Oryctolagus cuniculus: one gene and its partners. The protein of the gene in region 1 purifies or fractionates together with the protein of each later gene. This does not show direct contact. Links are inferred from orthologs where the notes say so. Each region holds a gene or a part of one and is shown in the gene's direction. Other genes may lie near its edges. The genes, in order: PRKAR2B, CDK5RAP2 and AKAP9.

Region 1 (5,347 bases):
AAAATAACCTTTTAATTTTGCTCATGTATTCTGTGGATTGGACTTCAGATGGCAGCTAGCACAGGGCTGGCAGGAGTTTTGTCCTGTTTTGTTCATCAAAAGCATGCAGAAACCCATTCACATTCCTGGGGAGGGGAAGCAAGACTTCAACTCCTGATGGAGGAACGGCAAGGAGAGCACATTGGGCTGTGCAGAGGAATCTGGCCCAGAGGACAGATGAGGAGTTGGTTATGTTTAACTTCCCGGATTGTCTTACGGGGTCAGTGTCTGGGGAGGGGAGAGACGGTTGCCTTCTCTTTCCTACTTTTTTCATAGCTGAAATGTGGCTGACACGATTTGCAGGGCGGCAGGCATCCTGGAGCACAAACTGAGGATGAGTGAGCAAAGAGCTGGCTGGAGCCTGGGCCCTGGTGATCACAGAGAAACGACATTTGATCGTGTTTAAGCTACTACATTTTCTGCCACATGCAAGTAATGCAAATTATAATCAACACAAACATCATTATAAATGCAGACAGACACAAATCCATCTTAGATTACTGGACCTGTAAAAATAATAATGCTTATGCCGCCGAGTCTGACTAATATTGTGTTCCAAGAAGTGGCACACGGGGATTGCAGTATTTTATTTGTTAAAATGCCTGATGCCTATAGCTAAAAGTTACTTATTACACTTAAAAACATTAGTATGAAATTGATAAGAAATGGAAATGGAAAAATACATTCACTCATGGAGTAAATAGAAGGCGGATCATAAACAAAAGTGTATTTTTATAAAAGGGATTAGTTTGTTTCGTCTCTCATCTATGGCCTTTTGAGTTTCCTGGGAAATGTATTTATTGTTTTGTGTTGGGGGGGGGAGGAGAATAAAAAAGTGAATAAAACAGAAAAGAAAAAAGTGATTTTGCTTGAATTATTTTTACAATATGGTCATCGCAGAAAATGAACAGTGGGCATTGAAATAATATTTCATGGACAAAAGACCAATCCTCTTTCCTCTGAACTGTAGACGTTAGATCTTTCCGAGTCCAGGAGCTGTACTTTAAAATTACACACCTGTAGCCCTATTTCTCTTTATACTGAAATACTGAAGGTCTTGGAGACCTAATGGCAAACCAAAGCAACAGGGAAAGTTCTAAAATAACCACGAACCGACTAATCCAGCACCGCTTTTTTCCTCCCGCTCGAGGACTACCTGTCTGGACTACGGCATTTTATCCAAGTTGCTGCACTCTCCGGGTCGCAGGCCATCAACTTTGCCAAGTGTCTCGGGAAACGCACGGCGCGCTCCGCGGGACCGCCCCGGCAAAGGATGAACGGACGCGTGAGAGAACAAGAAGGATGCCCCCCAAACCGGGGAGCCTCTCTCCGTCCAGTCTCCCACCGGACACGACGACCCAACTGGATGCCAGGAGGGAGGAAAAACGCCTGCCGTGGGCGGAGGCCGAGGTATCCGAGTACTCGCCGGCCCCCAGGGAAGCCCCGCACGGCGGCTCCACCAGCGGAGCGAGACGCGGCCTCGCAGGGGCCCACGCCCCGGGCGCGTGCGGGCGCCGCGCTCCCAGCCAGCCAGCGCGCCGGCGCCCGCCGGCGTCCTCAGCCCCGCGGCGGTGGGAGCGGCGGGAGCTCGGCGCCCGCCCGCCCTCCAGCCCGCGCAGTTGCCATGGTTTCCGGGGATCACGTGGGCGCGCGCGGCGGCGGCAGCGGCGGCGGCGGGGCGAAGGCGAGGGCGGGGCGCCGGGCGGGGGAGAGGCGCGGCCGCTGCGGGAGCGGGAGGAGCCCGAGATGCTGCCAGCCCTCCCGGGGCCGCGCTCGCTCAGCAGCCGCCGCCACACGGAGCAGCCGCGCGCCGGGCCAGCCGGGCCGCCGGGGCCCAGTGCGCCGCGCTCGCAGCCGCCCGCGCCGTCGGCGCTCAGCTTTGGTGGCCGCGGGGTCCGAGGCCGGACCGGAGAAGGGGGCGAGGGCGGCGCCAGGGCGCCCGCCGCCCCGGAGGCAGGATGAGCATCGAGATCCCGGCGGGACTGACGGAGCTGCTGCAGGGCTTCACGGTGGAGGTGCTGCGGCACCAGCCCGCCGACCTGCTGGAGTTCGCGCTGCAGCACTTCACGCGCCTGCAGCAGGAGAACGAGCGCAAGGGCGCCGCGCGCTTCGGCCATGAGGGCAGGACCTGGGGGGACGCGGGCGCCGCCGCCGGGGGCGGCACCCCCAGCAAGGGGGTCAACTTCGCCGAGGAGCCCGCGCACTCCGACTCCGAGAACGGGGAGGAGGAGGAGGAGGAGGAAGAGGAGGCCGCGGACGCAGGGGCGTTCAACGGTGAGGAGCGACCCTCCGCGCACGCTGCCCGCGCCGCTGCCGGCTTTGCGCGTGAAGCCGCAGCCCGGCTCCCCCGCGTGTCCCCGCCTCCCCTACCTTCCCGTCGCGCCCACCCCCTCAGCATCCATTTCTGTCTTCTCCCACTCGCCCACCTTCCTCCTCTGCTCTCTGGTCGTGCCCTCCCCCTCGCCCTCCTCCGTCTGGAGGAGGGAGCTGGCGGCGCGCGGCTTCCCGGGCCGGGGTCCGAGGTGTTGGGCTGGGCGGGTGCCGCGGTGCGTGAAGGAAGCTGGCCCTCTCGGGGTCCTCCTGGGGGTGTCAGGGAGGAGAGGCGGACGCCGTCGTCAGCGTTTCCCGTGAGGAGCAAGCAATTTGGCACTCGCTGAGGGTAGATCCACATTTATGGTTCTCGCGCCGGCATTCCTGGAAACGGAGTAATTTATTATTTTCTAGTTGACACACAACAAAGGAATCTCTTTAGCTTGCAATCCACAGGGTCTTCCGAAGACCGGCTTTTTAAAAATTTATTTATTTTTTAAGTATAAACCACATATTGAATGATTCAGTGCTTAAAATAATAATAAAATAACGCGTGTGGAAACCACCCTGGGAAGTTCAGAAGGCTTGTCGGTTTCTTTAGGATGAAAAGCCAGGGAGTGTTTGTAAGGACCGTGCCAGGCAGCAAAGCTGGAAAGAATGAATGGGGAAGAAAGAGGGATTTTCTCAAATAGCTGCTCCTGGCAAGTCCCACCCCTTCTGCTTACAACGCTCTCTCCCTGACACGCAGATACACTCGCATCGACACACATCTCCCTTCTTTATGGCATCCTAAGCTGACACACCTCGGTGTGCAAATGTACCGTCCTCTTTGTGGTGTGAGGCAAACGTGCGTGCAGCATTGCACCAGCTCTTATTTATGTGCGCTGCTTGTGGTTTGTGTGTCGGCAGCGGGTTTCGTCTGGGTGGAAGAAAAAAACATTTTAAAGTGTCCTTTCATTTCCTTGTGTTGGAATGGGTTGTAAAGTCATGCATTTGAGCCTGTGCAAAGCAGCCCCTCAAACCCCTGGAAATTAGTGCTTTGTGGAGATAAAAGGAAACATTGGCACTTAAGGTTTTGATTTTCTACTTTTTAGCGTTTTCCAGGATAGGATAATCATTGTCTTAATTGTTCTTTTTGCATAAGAATTAAATGCTTTTCTTGCTAGAAAGGAGAGCAGGATGAAAGAATGCATGTTTTAAATAGATGAGAAGCCAGTAATGGATGACATAGAAAGGGCAGAGGCATCAGATACTTCTTTTATGCTCCCAGTGCAGGCGTGCACACACGCATACACACGCATACACACGCATGTCCACATGAACGTGCACACACAGGAAGGAAAAAAGGGCTCGTTTCCCAGATTAGAAGAAACGAAGGGACTTGGTAAAGAATCTATATCATATATTGCGAACATAACTAGTATATTTTGTTTGTGTGCTTTTAAAGTATTTGCATTGATGCTTCCTTGTTTTCTCCTTACATTACTATATAGTGTTACTATATAGTAATGTTTTCTCCTTACATTACTGTATAGTGTGCACAGCACATACGTAGTTTTCATTTTGCAATAAAGAAATAAGCCATGAACTTCTAAACTGCAGGGACCGTTTTATGTAGTTTTATTTTCTCCCGGGCACCTTTACTGTAAAAATTGCTTAATATGGGTTTTAATAAATACCTGTTAAGCCATTGTACCATTTATCTCCCAGACTTTTCCCCAAGGAACTTAAAACTTTTTGACTGCAAGCAACTACAACTTGATCGTTACCCAGTAGAATTGCAAAAAATTATGGAAAAGTAGAACCCAAAGTATGAGTTTATTTTGTGCAAGAAAATTTTTTTTCTTAAGTTGTAAATGCCTATTATAAAAAAACTGCACATGGATTTCAATTTTTTTTCCGAGGTAATCTCATACTTTTAATTTTTCTGTGAGCTTTTAAAAAATATTTGAGGGCCAGCATTGTGGCACTGTGGGTAAAGCCACTGCCTGTGACATCGGCATCCCATACAGGCGCTGGTTGGAATCCCAGCTGCTCATTTGTGATCCAGCTCCGTGCTAATGGCTTGGGAAGAGCAGCAGAAGATGGCCCAAGTGCTTGGGATCTTGCCATTCTTGTAGGAGACCTGGAAGAAACTCCTGGCTCCCACCTTTGGCTTGGCTGAGCCCTGGCCATTGCGGCCATCTAGGGAGTGAACCAGCAGATGGAAGATCTGTCGCACCCTTCTTGTCTGTAACTCTGACTTCAAATAAATAAGTAAGATCTTTAATAAAAATTTAAAAAGGGTTTTATCTTTTAAAAGATTTACTTATTTATTTGAAAGGCAGAGTGACAGAGACAGAGGTATTCCATCCACTGGTTCTCTCCTTGAATGCGCTGGCGGAAGCCAGGAGCCAGACATCCCAGCCAGAACTCTGGGGTGAGTGGCAGGGACTGGAGGACCCAAGCTCTCATCTGCTGCCTGCCAGGTGCATTAACAGGAAGCTGGCTCAGGGGCCAAGCAGAACCAGGAATCCACTACAGGATGCAGTGTCCTGAGTGGCAGCCTTAACCCCCTGTACCACAACTCGCGCACTCCACGAGCTTTCCGCAGTACCCTCACCCATATCTGTGCAGCTCAGGATCTGGCAGCAGCACTTTCTTCTGTTAGGTTCAGTGCTTTGGGATATTTTCTGGTCTAATCAAGTTTCTCTCTCTCTCTCTCTTTTGTTGTTGTTTTTCCTTTTAAAATAATTTGTGTTGAGATGAGACCCAAGGTTTCAAAACAAGTGTAGTCTCAACAAAGTAGTCAGTAGTCTGTTTCGTAAGAGGCCGAATAATAAATGGTAGACTTTGTGAACATCATATGGTTTGAGTCATATTTTTCTTTTTCTTTTTTTTAATTTTTAACATAAAAATTGGGATTGGACAAAACTGGCTGCAAGCTAAGGTGGCCTTTGGAGCTGAGACCTGGTCAGAGGGGGAAAAAAAAGTTGAGGTAGTGCCTGGGAGGGCATTG
Region 2 (5,118 bases), on another chromosome or scaffold:
GTGGCTGAGGTGTCGCTCCCCCTCTTCGTGGAGGAACGACACAGGACCCTGCGCTGTTCTTTCGTCTGCTCGGCCCTCCCCGGGTTTGCTGCTGGTTCTTCCCGGGTTGGCTACTATCCCTTCCACCTCCGTGGAAGGGCAGTTCCCCCTGGCCGCATTCCCCACTTCCGCAGGGGAGCGGCACACCGCCGGCCGGTTCTCTCGGGGGCTGCACGGGTTCCCTTAGATGTTCCCCATAGATGTTCCTGGTGCATGCCGTCTCTCTCCTCCTTTATAGTCCTCCTCCGCCAATCCCAACTCGGCTGCCCACACGCCGAGTACGCTGCTCTCCTCCAATCAGGAGCAAGTCCTACAGTTTATTGGCTGAACTGGAGGCAGCTGTGCGGAAGCTGTTTACTTCTCTCCCAGCGCCATATTGTGGGAGAGCAGATGCATAGAATAAGTCTTAATTCCAGTAACTCAGTCTAGTCCGGTTTGCTCCCCACACTGAGGGTCTGCAGAAGGAAGAGGGACAAGTGCAGAGGCTGGGCTCTGAAAGCCTCACTAATGCTGAGGGAGGGGAGAGAAGAGGAGGAGGGAAGAAGAGGAGAGGAGAGGAGAGGAGAGGAGAGGAGAGGAGAGGAGAGGAGAGAGGAGAGGAGAGATCTTCTGCCAGAGATCTTCTACCTGCTTTTTCACTCCTCAAATGCTCACGACAGTCAGGGCTGGGCCAAGAACTGCATCCGAGTCTCCCAGGTGGGTGGCAGGGATTCAAGTACTTGAACCATCACCTTGCTACCTCCCAGGGCATGCATTAACAGGAAGCTGGATTGAAAGTGCACTAGCTGGGACTAGAATCAGGCACTCTGTGGGCCCTCTGATATGGGAGGTGGGCTTAACCTGCTGTAGCACAATGCCAGCCTCAGGAGAGTCCTCATTTAGTTGGCAGGAGCCACGGATCTGGCTCCAGTTCACAGACTTAGTGCATATTACTAAGGGGGGAATCACTCCTTTCGAGCCTTGGTTTAGCTATTGCAGGCGCGTTTTAGTAGTAATGGTAATAAAGGACCACTAAGTGCGAGCTTGGAGTGGAGTCTGACCCCTTGTATCGGAGGGAGGAACCATTTGTTTCAAACTACGTGTGCAAACAACTAGGATTCCACAGGTAGGATTTTTCTAAAGTGAATCAGCATCTTAGTATATGGGTGGGAGCCTTTTGGAGACACAGATCCAAAGAGTCATCATTCTAGAAAAGCAAATACCGCCTCAGGAACTCTGAAGTTCCCATAGGAACTGTATTCCCATCTCCCGCTTAAACTAACGGACCACAGTCAGTTTTTGCCCTCAACAAAGATGGCACCTGCGGGCTCCTGCGGGAATGCCCTCATAAAAAATGGCAGCTCCTTCTCTTTCGTTAGTTTTATGGGCTAAAGCGCCGACGTTCTGCCCTTAGTTAAGATGGCGCCCATTGCCGCTTCCCTGCCCTGCCTCTCGCCGCCGCAGGTTGGCTTCACAGCGCGCGTCCGTGGCCCCGCCTTGTTTCCGCAGGAAGAAGCGCCGGGAAATATGGCGGCCGCTGTGGTTTGAATTCCAGCGGCGCCGCGGGAGTCAGAACAAGAGCTGGGTTGGAAGGGGGGCGGGGACCGGGGGAGACGGGCGGGTCGCCACAGCGGGGGCAACCAGTGGCGCCGCCCCCACAGGCACCAGCGCCACCATCGCCTTTTCATCCGCTATGGACTCGGTGTTGGAAGAGGACGTCAGCCTCCCTGGGACGCTCAGCGGCTGCAGGTGCGGCCCGGGCACAGTGAGGGGGTTCGCGGTCATCAGGCTGGGCTCTCCGCTGATGGGGCCCTGGGGTTTGCTCTTGCGGGTGTTGGAGTGTTTGGTCCCGGGCAGTGTGTGTGTATGCCTGCCTACTTCAGGTTATTTTACGGAGGGAGGCTTTGCGTTGATCGTGTGGGGGTCCCCACTGGCCCCACACTCGCTTCTGTTGTTTTGGGGCGCTCTTGGAAGAGGAGGTGAAAGCCGGGTTAAGGGGCTTTCTGAAAGAGCAGGCCGAGGGGGACCACTTGGAGTATGCTAGTAGTTGGGGGCTGGTTGTGGGACGGGGGTCTTGAGGGTGTTTGATGGCTCACCCTGGGCACGGGTTTGCTTTCATCGTGGGGGAGGTAGTGCCAGCGCCCAGACTTTTCTTATTAAGGTCACAGAGTCGCGACGGAGGATGGAAGCAGTGAAGTACAGTGTTTAAGTTCCTTGGCTGGAGTTAGAACTGGATTCAAATTCAGACTTATAAAGTAGTCATCTGGTGGCCTTGGTAAAGTGACTGAATCTGATTTCCCATCTGCACAGTGGGCCGGTGTTAATATCCACGCAGCAGAATGGGGTGAAGATTGAAAGAGGCAGTTCACTGGGCAAGTGTAGTTAGTGCCTGGCATACAATGAGTGCTGAAAAAATGCTCTAGTGTTGCCATTGTCCTTACTATGATCAGTAGTGATGGAGATTGAGGACTAATGGCTGAGAGTGGCCTTCCAAGTCCCCATTGCTGGTGGGGCTGGGGTCTCTGTGGCAGGAGGTTCTGCTTGGGTCCTAGACTGCTCTGGGCTGGGTCTCGGGTTGTACCTGGGTCCTGATGGGAGAGTAGATGGAAGGAAGGGGAGGAGAGTCCTGACGGAACCCACACTGCTTACCTAGTTTTCCTAGGGACAGGCTGCTGCTTTTGCTCAACAGATTCTTAGTGAATGAAATTGTTATTTAATGTGTAAACTGGATGCTTTTAAGAGTAACTTGGGCACAGTCAGTATGTGTGCCTGAACAGCAAGGTAGGAATCCAGCGGTGGTGTCCTGGGCAAATCTGGAAGATGCGTACTCTGTGTATCACGTACAAAGCTCTTTGCAGCTTTTGCCTAATCAGATCTTTGTGGAAGTTCATTATGTCCCTTCTCTTCATCTTAACCACCACTACTACCACTGCCTCTCACCTGTACTGTTCTGGCTTCCTTTAACCACCAGCAGTTGTTAATACTACAGCTTGAAAACTCTATTTTTTTTTTTTAGAATATGGCTAGCTTTTTAAAAAATTATTTAAGGTATACAAATTTCATGTATTCCTATATGCAGATTCAGGAACATACTAATACTTCCTCCCCGACCTTTCCTCCTGCCCACACTCCCACCCTTCTTCCTCCTCCCTCTCTTATTCCTATTCTTAATTTTTACAAATATCTGTTTTCCGTTAACTTTGTACTCATAAGATTAACCCTAAACTAAGTGAAGAGTTCAACAAATAGTATGAAGAAAAAAAGCACTGTTCCTCAACAGTAAAGGCCTGTAAACAAATATCAAGTTTCAAAATGTCAATTTTACTTCTATAGATTACCTTTTAGGTACTCTATTAGTTATATAGATCAGGGAAAACATGATATTTGTCACTTTGGGACTGGCTTATTTCACTAACTATAATGGTTTCCAGTGGCATCCATTTTGTTGCAAATGAAAGGACTTCATTTTTTTAACTGCTGTATAGTATTCTATAGTATATATATAGAATAATTTCTTTATCCAGTCTTTAGTTGATGGGCATCTGAGTTGATTCTGTATCTTAGCTGTTGTGAAATAAGTTGCAATAAACATGAGGGTACAGATCACTCTTTGATACGCAGATTTCATTTCATTTGAGAAAATTCCTGGGAGTGGATGGCTGGGTCATATGGCAGGTCTGTATTTAGATTTCTGAGGTATCTCCATCCTAGCACAGTGGCTGCATTGAAATACATCCTCATCAGCAGTGAGCTGGGTTTCCATTTTCCCCACATCCTTGCCAGCATTTATTGTTTGTTGATTTCTTATGAGGGCCATTCTAACTGGGGGTGAGGTGAAACCTCATGTGGTTTTGATTTGCATTTCCCTGATGGCTAGTGATCCCGAGCATTTTCTCATGTGTCTGTTGGCCGTTTGTATTATCTCTTGAAAAATGCCTGTTCAAGTCCTTTGCCCATTTCTTAACTGGATTGGAAAACTATTAAATATAAATCTGATCCCCACAGTCTGCTGCTAAGTACTTTGAACACTTTTTATTGCCATGAGGATAAAGCCCATTACTCTCTCAGCTGGCGCCACTCTCATCTCAGTGCTGGTTGACCAAATACTTGGCTTTGGGACCCAGACCTAGCTCAGTTTGAATCCCAGTTCTGCTACTTTACCCTGTGACCTTGATAAGTCACTCATCCTCTTTTAACTTCAATTTTCATCATCTATAAAATGGGTTTGTGCTAAGCCCAGGATTAGCATAAGGATTAAAATGAGTTTACTCAACAGAATAGCAAATACTCTCCTTTCCCTCCTCTCCCTGCCTTTGCAGGACCAGGGTGTTGCACACTTCCTGATAGCTAATCTGTCTGCATCTTCCCCAGCTCCTCCCTGTCATCAGGATGAAGCTCTTTAACGTGATTTCCAGAATTCTTCATGGTCTGGCCCGGTGTGCCTCTCTAGCCTCCTCTCTCTCTAATTCCCTACCCATGTCTCCTCCTCTTCACCTTATACCTGGCTGCCAGAATCTGTCACCCTTGGTCTTGCCTTGTCCTTCCTCACATTGAGCCTGCGCACTTGTTGCTCCTGCTGTGTGGGGGGCCCTCCTGACTGCCCTTGGCCTTACTCATGCCTGCCATGTCTCAGGTCTCAGACATCACTGCTAGCAAGCTTGCTGACACTCCCTCTCCCCATCTGTGCCCTCTACCATTCTGGCCACCCTCACCTGTCAGTGACCTTACTCCAGCCCTTGATGGCTTCACTGAATTTGATTGACCAGTGCTGTGCAACAGAAATACAATGTAGGCCATGTCTATAATTAAAAGTTTTCTAGAAGCCGTATTTTAAAAAGCAAATTGAAATAGGTAGAATTAGTAATATATTTTATTTTTTTTAAAGATTTTATTTTTTTGAGAGATAGAGTTACAAACAGTGAGAGGCAGAGAGAGAGATCTTCCTTCCGTTGGTTTACTCCCCAAATGGCTGCAACGGCCAGAGCTGTGCCAATCTGAAGCTAGGAGTCAGGAGCTTCTTCCCAGTCTCTCAGGGTGCAGGGGCCCAAGGACTTGGGCCATCTTGTACTGCTTTCCCAGGCCACAGCAGAGAGCCAGATT
Region 3 (5,128 bases), on another chromosome or scaffold:
TCTGCCTCTCCTTCTCTCTCTGTGTAACCCTGACTTTCAAATAAATAGATGAATCTTAAAAAAAGAAAATAACCCAAACCATGTCACTCTGCTCAAAATTTCTCCAGTTGCTTCTAATTGTAAACAGAAAAAAAGCCAAAGTGCTTTCTTACAATGAACTATGAACTCCTGAACTCTATAGGATCTGATCGCGTTGCCCCCTACCCTCATTACTTCTCTGACTTTATCTCCTATTATTCTCCTGGATGTTTTACTCCACTCTAGCCACCCTTGCTTCCTGTTTATCCTTTATCGCCGCTTGAGAGGCTTTGGATTGCTATCAGCTCACTTATCTCCATGGCCCACTCCCTCATCTTTCTCAAGTCTTGGCGAGATAGCATCTTCTTGGGGAATGACTTGAATGAATAAATTATATAAATGACTGGTATGATATGACATGAATGGACAGGTGTCAAATCACTAGTGCCACACATTTGCCCTTCCTCGGGTTCACTCCCCAACTGACTACAAAAGCTGGATGGGAAGCCGGGAGCCAGAGCTGCTTCCGGGTCTCTCCCGTGGGTTAAGGGACCCAAGCACTTGGGACATCTTCCTCTGCTTTGCTAGGCCCTTAGCAGGGAACTGGAACAGAAGAGCAGCAGCTAGGACTGGAACCAGCGCCAGGTGGGGGCTTAACCTGGTATGCCAGAGCACCCCCCTCCCACCTTTTCCTTTTTTAACCCCAAGTTTCACTGAATATCACCAATACGTTGAACTCGCAGCTTGTTTCCACTCCTGACAGTTTCTCAGCCCAACCTCACTCAACAAAGGAGAGGGGAACTCAACATCAGTATTCAACCTAAGACAGGATCATTTGTATTCACTCTAGGAACGGAGGGTTGGCGAATGGGAGGGTGGTGAAGGGGGCAGGAGGAGGATTGCGGGGCCAGGTGAGTGGAAGAAACGGAAGAGTAATGATCAATTTATAGACGTGACCAGTCAACCCAGCAGTATTTATTCGGAGCAAAGCCCTGTGCTAGTCGTTTATTAATGCCACGGTGAGCAGGATCCATGAGGGGGTCCGTGCCTCCAAGGAGCCAGGAATATCAGGTGACCTAAGAAGCACGCAAGCCAACAAAACGCGTGCAGAGGACATCAAGGAAATTCGAGAAAAACGGCAACCGACATTAATTCGGGGCGATTCGGTAGGCCAGGGGCAGTCACAAAGATGACCACCCTTCCCCAATCCCAGGACAGGTAACGTGTGTCGTGTCAGGTGGTGCGCCCGGGCTGGGTCCCCGAGAGCACCGCTGCCAGAGGCCCCAGCGAGGCTGGATGGGAGTGCAGGTTCAGCAGGAGCCCTCCCGGGGGCGGGGGGCGAACAAAGACAGGAGCCGTGTGCGTGCAGGCGGAGGCGTGCGAGGTGGGCCTCGGAGGACCCGGCAGCCTGGGCGGGAACCGGCGTGGGCCAGGGGGCGGGACTGCGAGGCCAGGGAAGTCACCGCCGCAGTCGCCGCTCTCCCGGTTTCTGGCGTGGAGGAGTCCACCTAGGTTGAAAAGCCGGGGTCCGGCAAGTCTCTCCCGCCTGCTGGCCACTGTGGCTGCTCAGAGGTCCTTCATATCTGATGGCTTCGTGATTGGAAAAACCGCTCTGTTTGAAGAGCGCCGAGTCCCGCGCACCGTGGCGGCACTGCTGGCCGGCGGGCGGGCGGCCCTGGACACCGCTCCCGCCTCAGCCCCGCCGCCGCCGGGAGCCGCCGGGAGCCGCCGGGCCGCGGGAGGACGGCGCGGGCGGGGGCGGGGCCGCGGCGCACCTGCCCGGCGCGGCGGCTGCGCGGACCGACGTCCCCCCCCCCCCACGACGCCCGCCGAGTGTTTACGTGGAGACGAAGATGGCGGCGGCGGTGACGGCGCTGGCCGTGCGGCCCGGGACGAGCCGCCAGTGAGCGCGGAGGCTGCTCGCGCTCCGGGCGGGGCCGCGCCGCGCCGGGCCTGCTCGCTGGGCCGCGGAGCTCGCCGCCCCACCTCCGCCTGAACCGACCTTTCCTGTCTCCCCCAAACCCCGCCCGCTGCTCCGCCGCCTTCCCGCAGAGGCCATGGAGGACGAGGAGCGACAGAAGAAGCTGGAGGCCGGCAAAGCGAAGGTAGGAGAGGCGGAGGCAGCCGGGCCCGGGGAGGGAGGCGGCGGCTGGGCAGGGTGGGAGGGGGCCTGGGAGCGGAGCTGGCGGCGGCCGGCGCGCGCTGGCTGGCGGGGAGCGAGGTGCCGCGGCCCCGCGTTTCCCCCTCGCCCCTTGTTCCAGTAGGGGCGAAGCCCGGCGCCCCCTCCTCGCCGCCGATACTTGGGTGCTGAGTGAACGGCGTGGCTGCTTTCTCGTAAATGCCCAGGGCTGCCGTCAGCTGGTGTTTAATTGCTCCCGAATCTCAGCCTTTCACTTTCTTCAGGGGGTGTTCTGGGCGGTGCAGGCGTTGTGCTGCCCAGCGAGGAGATTCAGGGCTTCTCCTTTATTTGGGGGGGATTGGCGCGCGGCCGGCGGCTCGCCCGCCTCTCTGGCACGCTGGCACTCCGGGGCGTGTGTGATTGGCCTGTGACAGCTGCCTCGGCAGTGGCTCGAGTGTGCCACAAGTGCCAGCTGTGAACTTGGCTGCAGGGGCGTTGACAGAAGCGTGCCTTTGTATGTCTGTCTGCGGAGGTCTTTGTCGCGGCACCGAGGCTGTCTGCATGGAACTTCTGGGAACCCAGAGGTTCTGTGTTCCAAGTGACACCTACAGAATTCCTGCTTTGAGTAATGTCGTTGTCCTCTGTGTAGCTCCGGTGAGCCGCTGTTTCGTGTGTGTGCGCGCGCGCACGAAAAAGCCTGTAAAGCAAACAATACAAAATCATACACAGGTGTCATTCCTTGGGCTTCATGAAAAACTTGACACGAGATACATTTGAATAACCTATTTCTTTTAAACATTGCGTGTTAGACGTGTCTTCTGGTTGGCCCCAAAGGACCCCTTCTTCTTTACAACGAAATGACCTTTTGTAGGTTATCTGCTAATCTCTGTAGAGGTAATTGTCAGCAATCATACTTGGACTGCGGTTAAATGGTAGTGTAGTTAACTGTTTCTCCTCTCCGCCTTCCCTCCCCTCCCCCCACATAAACAAAGGAAACCGGGGCCCTGGCTGCAGTCCTCCGGGAAGGGCCACCTGCAGAGGTGCAGCAGGAGAGTGCTCATCCCAGGTGTGTCTGCCTGCGTGTGTAACGTAGCAATGCAGTGGGCTTTGCAGGAAGCTCCCTCCGCCCGAGGTCCAGGCTCACAGGTAGCCAGGTGGACTTTTAGAATCTGTACATGGAGGGAAGGGGAACAGGGCACCTTCCAGAGCCCCCAAATTGCTTACATTACACAAACCCCGTGTGTCCCTTGAGGGAGGTTAGCTGTGTGCTGGCTTCCAGAAGCACTGAAGTTCTAATCTGTCTGGCTTGGGAATTTTTACTGCTTGCCCCCAAAAATGTCTTTCCTAAAAACATGTGAAGCAGTCCCATGAAAGGTGATTTACTTTGGACAGACATATATCATGATAGAGGATTTAATTAAATAGTTGTAAGTAGTTGATTTGGCAAAATGGAGTTCTGTATGCTCTAGCGGTGTGTGTGTGTGTGTGTGTTTCAAAATTCTACCAATGGAGTAATGTTAATAGGTTAACTTGTATTTCAGAAGTTTATCTTCTTCTGGAGTTAAGCCTGCTTTTCCCAGTGAGAAATCTGTGAAACGTATAAGGCAGGATATGTTTGGGGCCACATTAGCTCTGCAATAAAAATACCGAAATAAGTCTTGAGAGATGATATGAAGAGACTGGCTTTCTAAGATGTATAAATGCAATGGAATAGTATGCAGCCATTAACGTTATGAAGACTAACAGCATGGAAGATAGAATGAAAATGGCATCATCAAAAATAGTCTATAAATTATTTCCTCTCTATATAAGCATGTGTTTTAGTTAGGACTGAAAAACATTGGGTTCTTTTTTTTTTTTTTTTTTTTTTTTGACAGGCAGAGTGGACAGTGAGAGAGAGACGGAGAGAAAGGTCTTCCTTTGCCGTTGGTTCACCCTCCAATGGCCGCCACAGCCGGCGTGCTGCGGCCGGCGCACTGCGCCTATCCGAAGGCAGGAGCCAGGTACTTATCCTGGTCTCCCATGGGGTGCAGGGCCCAAGCACTTGGGCCATCCTCCACTGCACTCCCTGGCCACAGCAGAGAACTGGCCTGGAAGAGGGTCAACCGGGACAGAATCCGGTGCCCCGACCGGGACTAGAACCCGGTGTGCCAGCGCCGCAAGGTGGAGGATTAGCCTAGTGAGCCACGGCGCCGGCCCAAAACATTGGGTTCTAAATGTAGTCATTCAGCACAAGCCATCTTGAACTCCCATGTTATGCCAGGGGCTGGAGATATAGAGGTGGTGACAATCTTTTTTCAAGTTAGATCACAGTGTACCCTAGAATGATACCTATCAGTGAATGCTAAATAAATGAAGAGCAGAATGACTAATGAGTTGTTAATGGGTGCAGCTTTACTAGTATGGTTATAGTTTAGTAACAATAGGGGCCAGCGCTGTGGCATAGTGGGTAAAGTCGCTGCCTGCCCTAACGACATCCCATACGGGCACAGGTTTGGGTCCTGGCTGTTTCACTTCCTATCCAGCTCTCTGCTATGGCCTGGGAAGGCAGAAGAAGTTGGCCCAAGTCCTTGAGCTCCTGCACCTTCATGGGAGACGTGGAAGAAGCTCCTGGCTCCTGGCTTCAGATCGGCACAGCTCTGGTAGTTGGCAGCCATCTGGGGAGTGAACCAGCATGTGGAAGACCTCCCCCCCCCCCCCCCGCCTCTGCTTCAAAAGTAGCAATAATCTGGAATTATCATAATTTAAAGATTTCATTGCTGGCATCAGAAACCACTTAGAATTTTCAGTTTCCAAAATTTGTTGAGAGATTAGATTCTTCAAATGTCTCATTCGTTCATTAGATTTACATATTGCATTTGGTAATGTTTTTATCTCATTTTTTTTAAAGATTTGTTTATTTGAAAGGCAGAGTTATATATAGAGAGAAGGAAACAGAGAGAGACCTTCCATCTGCTGGTTCACTCCCCCAAATGACCACACAGCTAGGCT

What was found.
Region 2: the proteins of PRKAR2B (region 1) and CDK5RAP2 purify together in Homo sapiens (affinity purification with mass spectrometry; 3 studies listed by BioGRID and IntAct, counting the BioPlex papers as one, with this or other methods). This does not show direct contact. The link is inferred for Oryctolagus cuniculus from reciprocal best matches to the Homo sapiens genes PRKAR2B and CDK5RAP2.
Region 3: the proteins of PRKAR2B (region 1) and AKAP9 purify together in Homo sapiens (affinity purification with mass spectrometry; 3 studies listed by BioGRID and IntAct, counting the BioPlex papers as one, with this or other methods). This does not show direct contact. The link is inferred for Oryctolagus cuniculus from reciprocal best matches to the Homo sapiens genes PRKAR2B and AKAP9.

Annotation. Positions count from the first base shown.
Region 1 is NC_091434.1:137,198,281-137,203,627, reverse strand, and holds the start of PRKAR2B (cAMP-dependent protein kinase type II-beta regulatory subunit), read left to right. Parts: upstream 1-1,834; 5' UTR 1,835-1,997; coding exon 1,998-2,313; intron 2,314-2,465; exon of another isoform or gene 2,466-2,687; intron 2,688-5,347. UniProt on the Homo sapiens protein: Regulatory subunit of the cAMP-dependent protein kinases involved in cAMP signaling in cells. Type II regulatory chains mediate membrane association by binding to anchoring proteins, including the MAP2 kinase.
Region 2 is NC_091432.1:224,486,939-224,492,056, reverse strand, and holds the start of CDK5RAP2 (CDK5 regulatory subunit-associated protein 2), read left to right. Parts: upstream 1-1,522; 5' UTR 1,523-1,711; coding exon 1,712-1,767; intron 1,768-5,118. UniProt on the Homo sapiens protein: Potential regulator of CDK5 activity via its interaction with CDK5R1. Negative regulator of centriole disengagement (licensing) which maintains centriole engagement and cohesion. Involved in regulation of mitotic spindle orientation.
Region 3 is NC_091447.1:43,775,219-43,780,346, reverse strand, and holds the start of AKAP9 (A-kinase anchor protein 9), read left to right. Parts: upstream 1-1,989; 5' UTR 1,990-2,075; coding exon 2,076-2,123; intron 2,124-5,128. UniProt on the Homo sapiens protein: Scaffolding protein that assembles several protein kinases and phosphatases on the centrosome and Golgi apparatus. Required to maintain the integrity of the Golgi apparatus. Required for microtubule nucleation at the cis-side of the Golgi apparatus.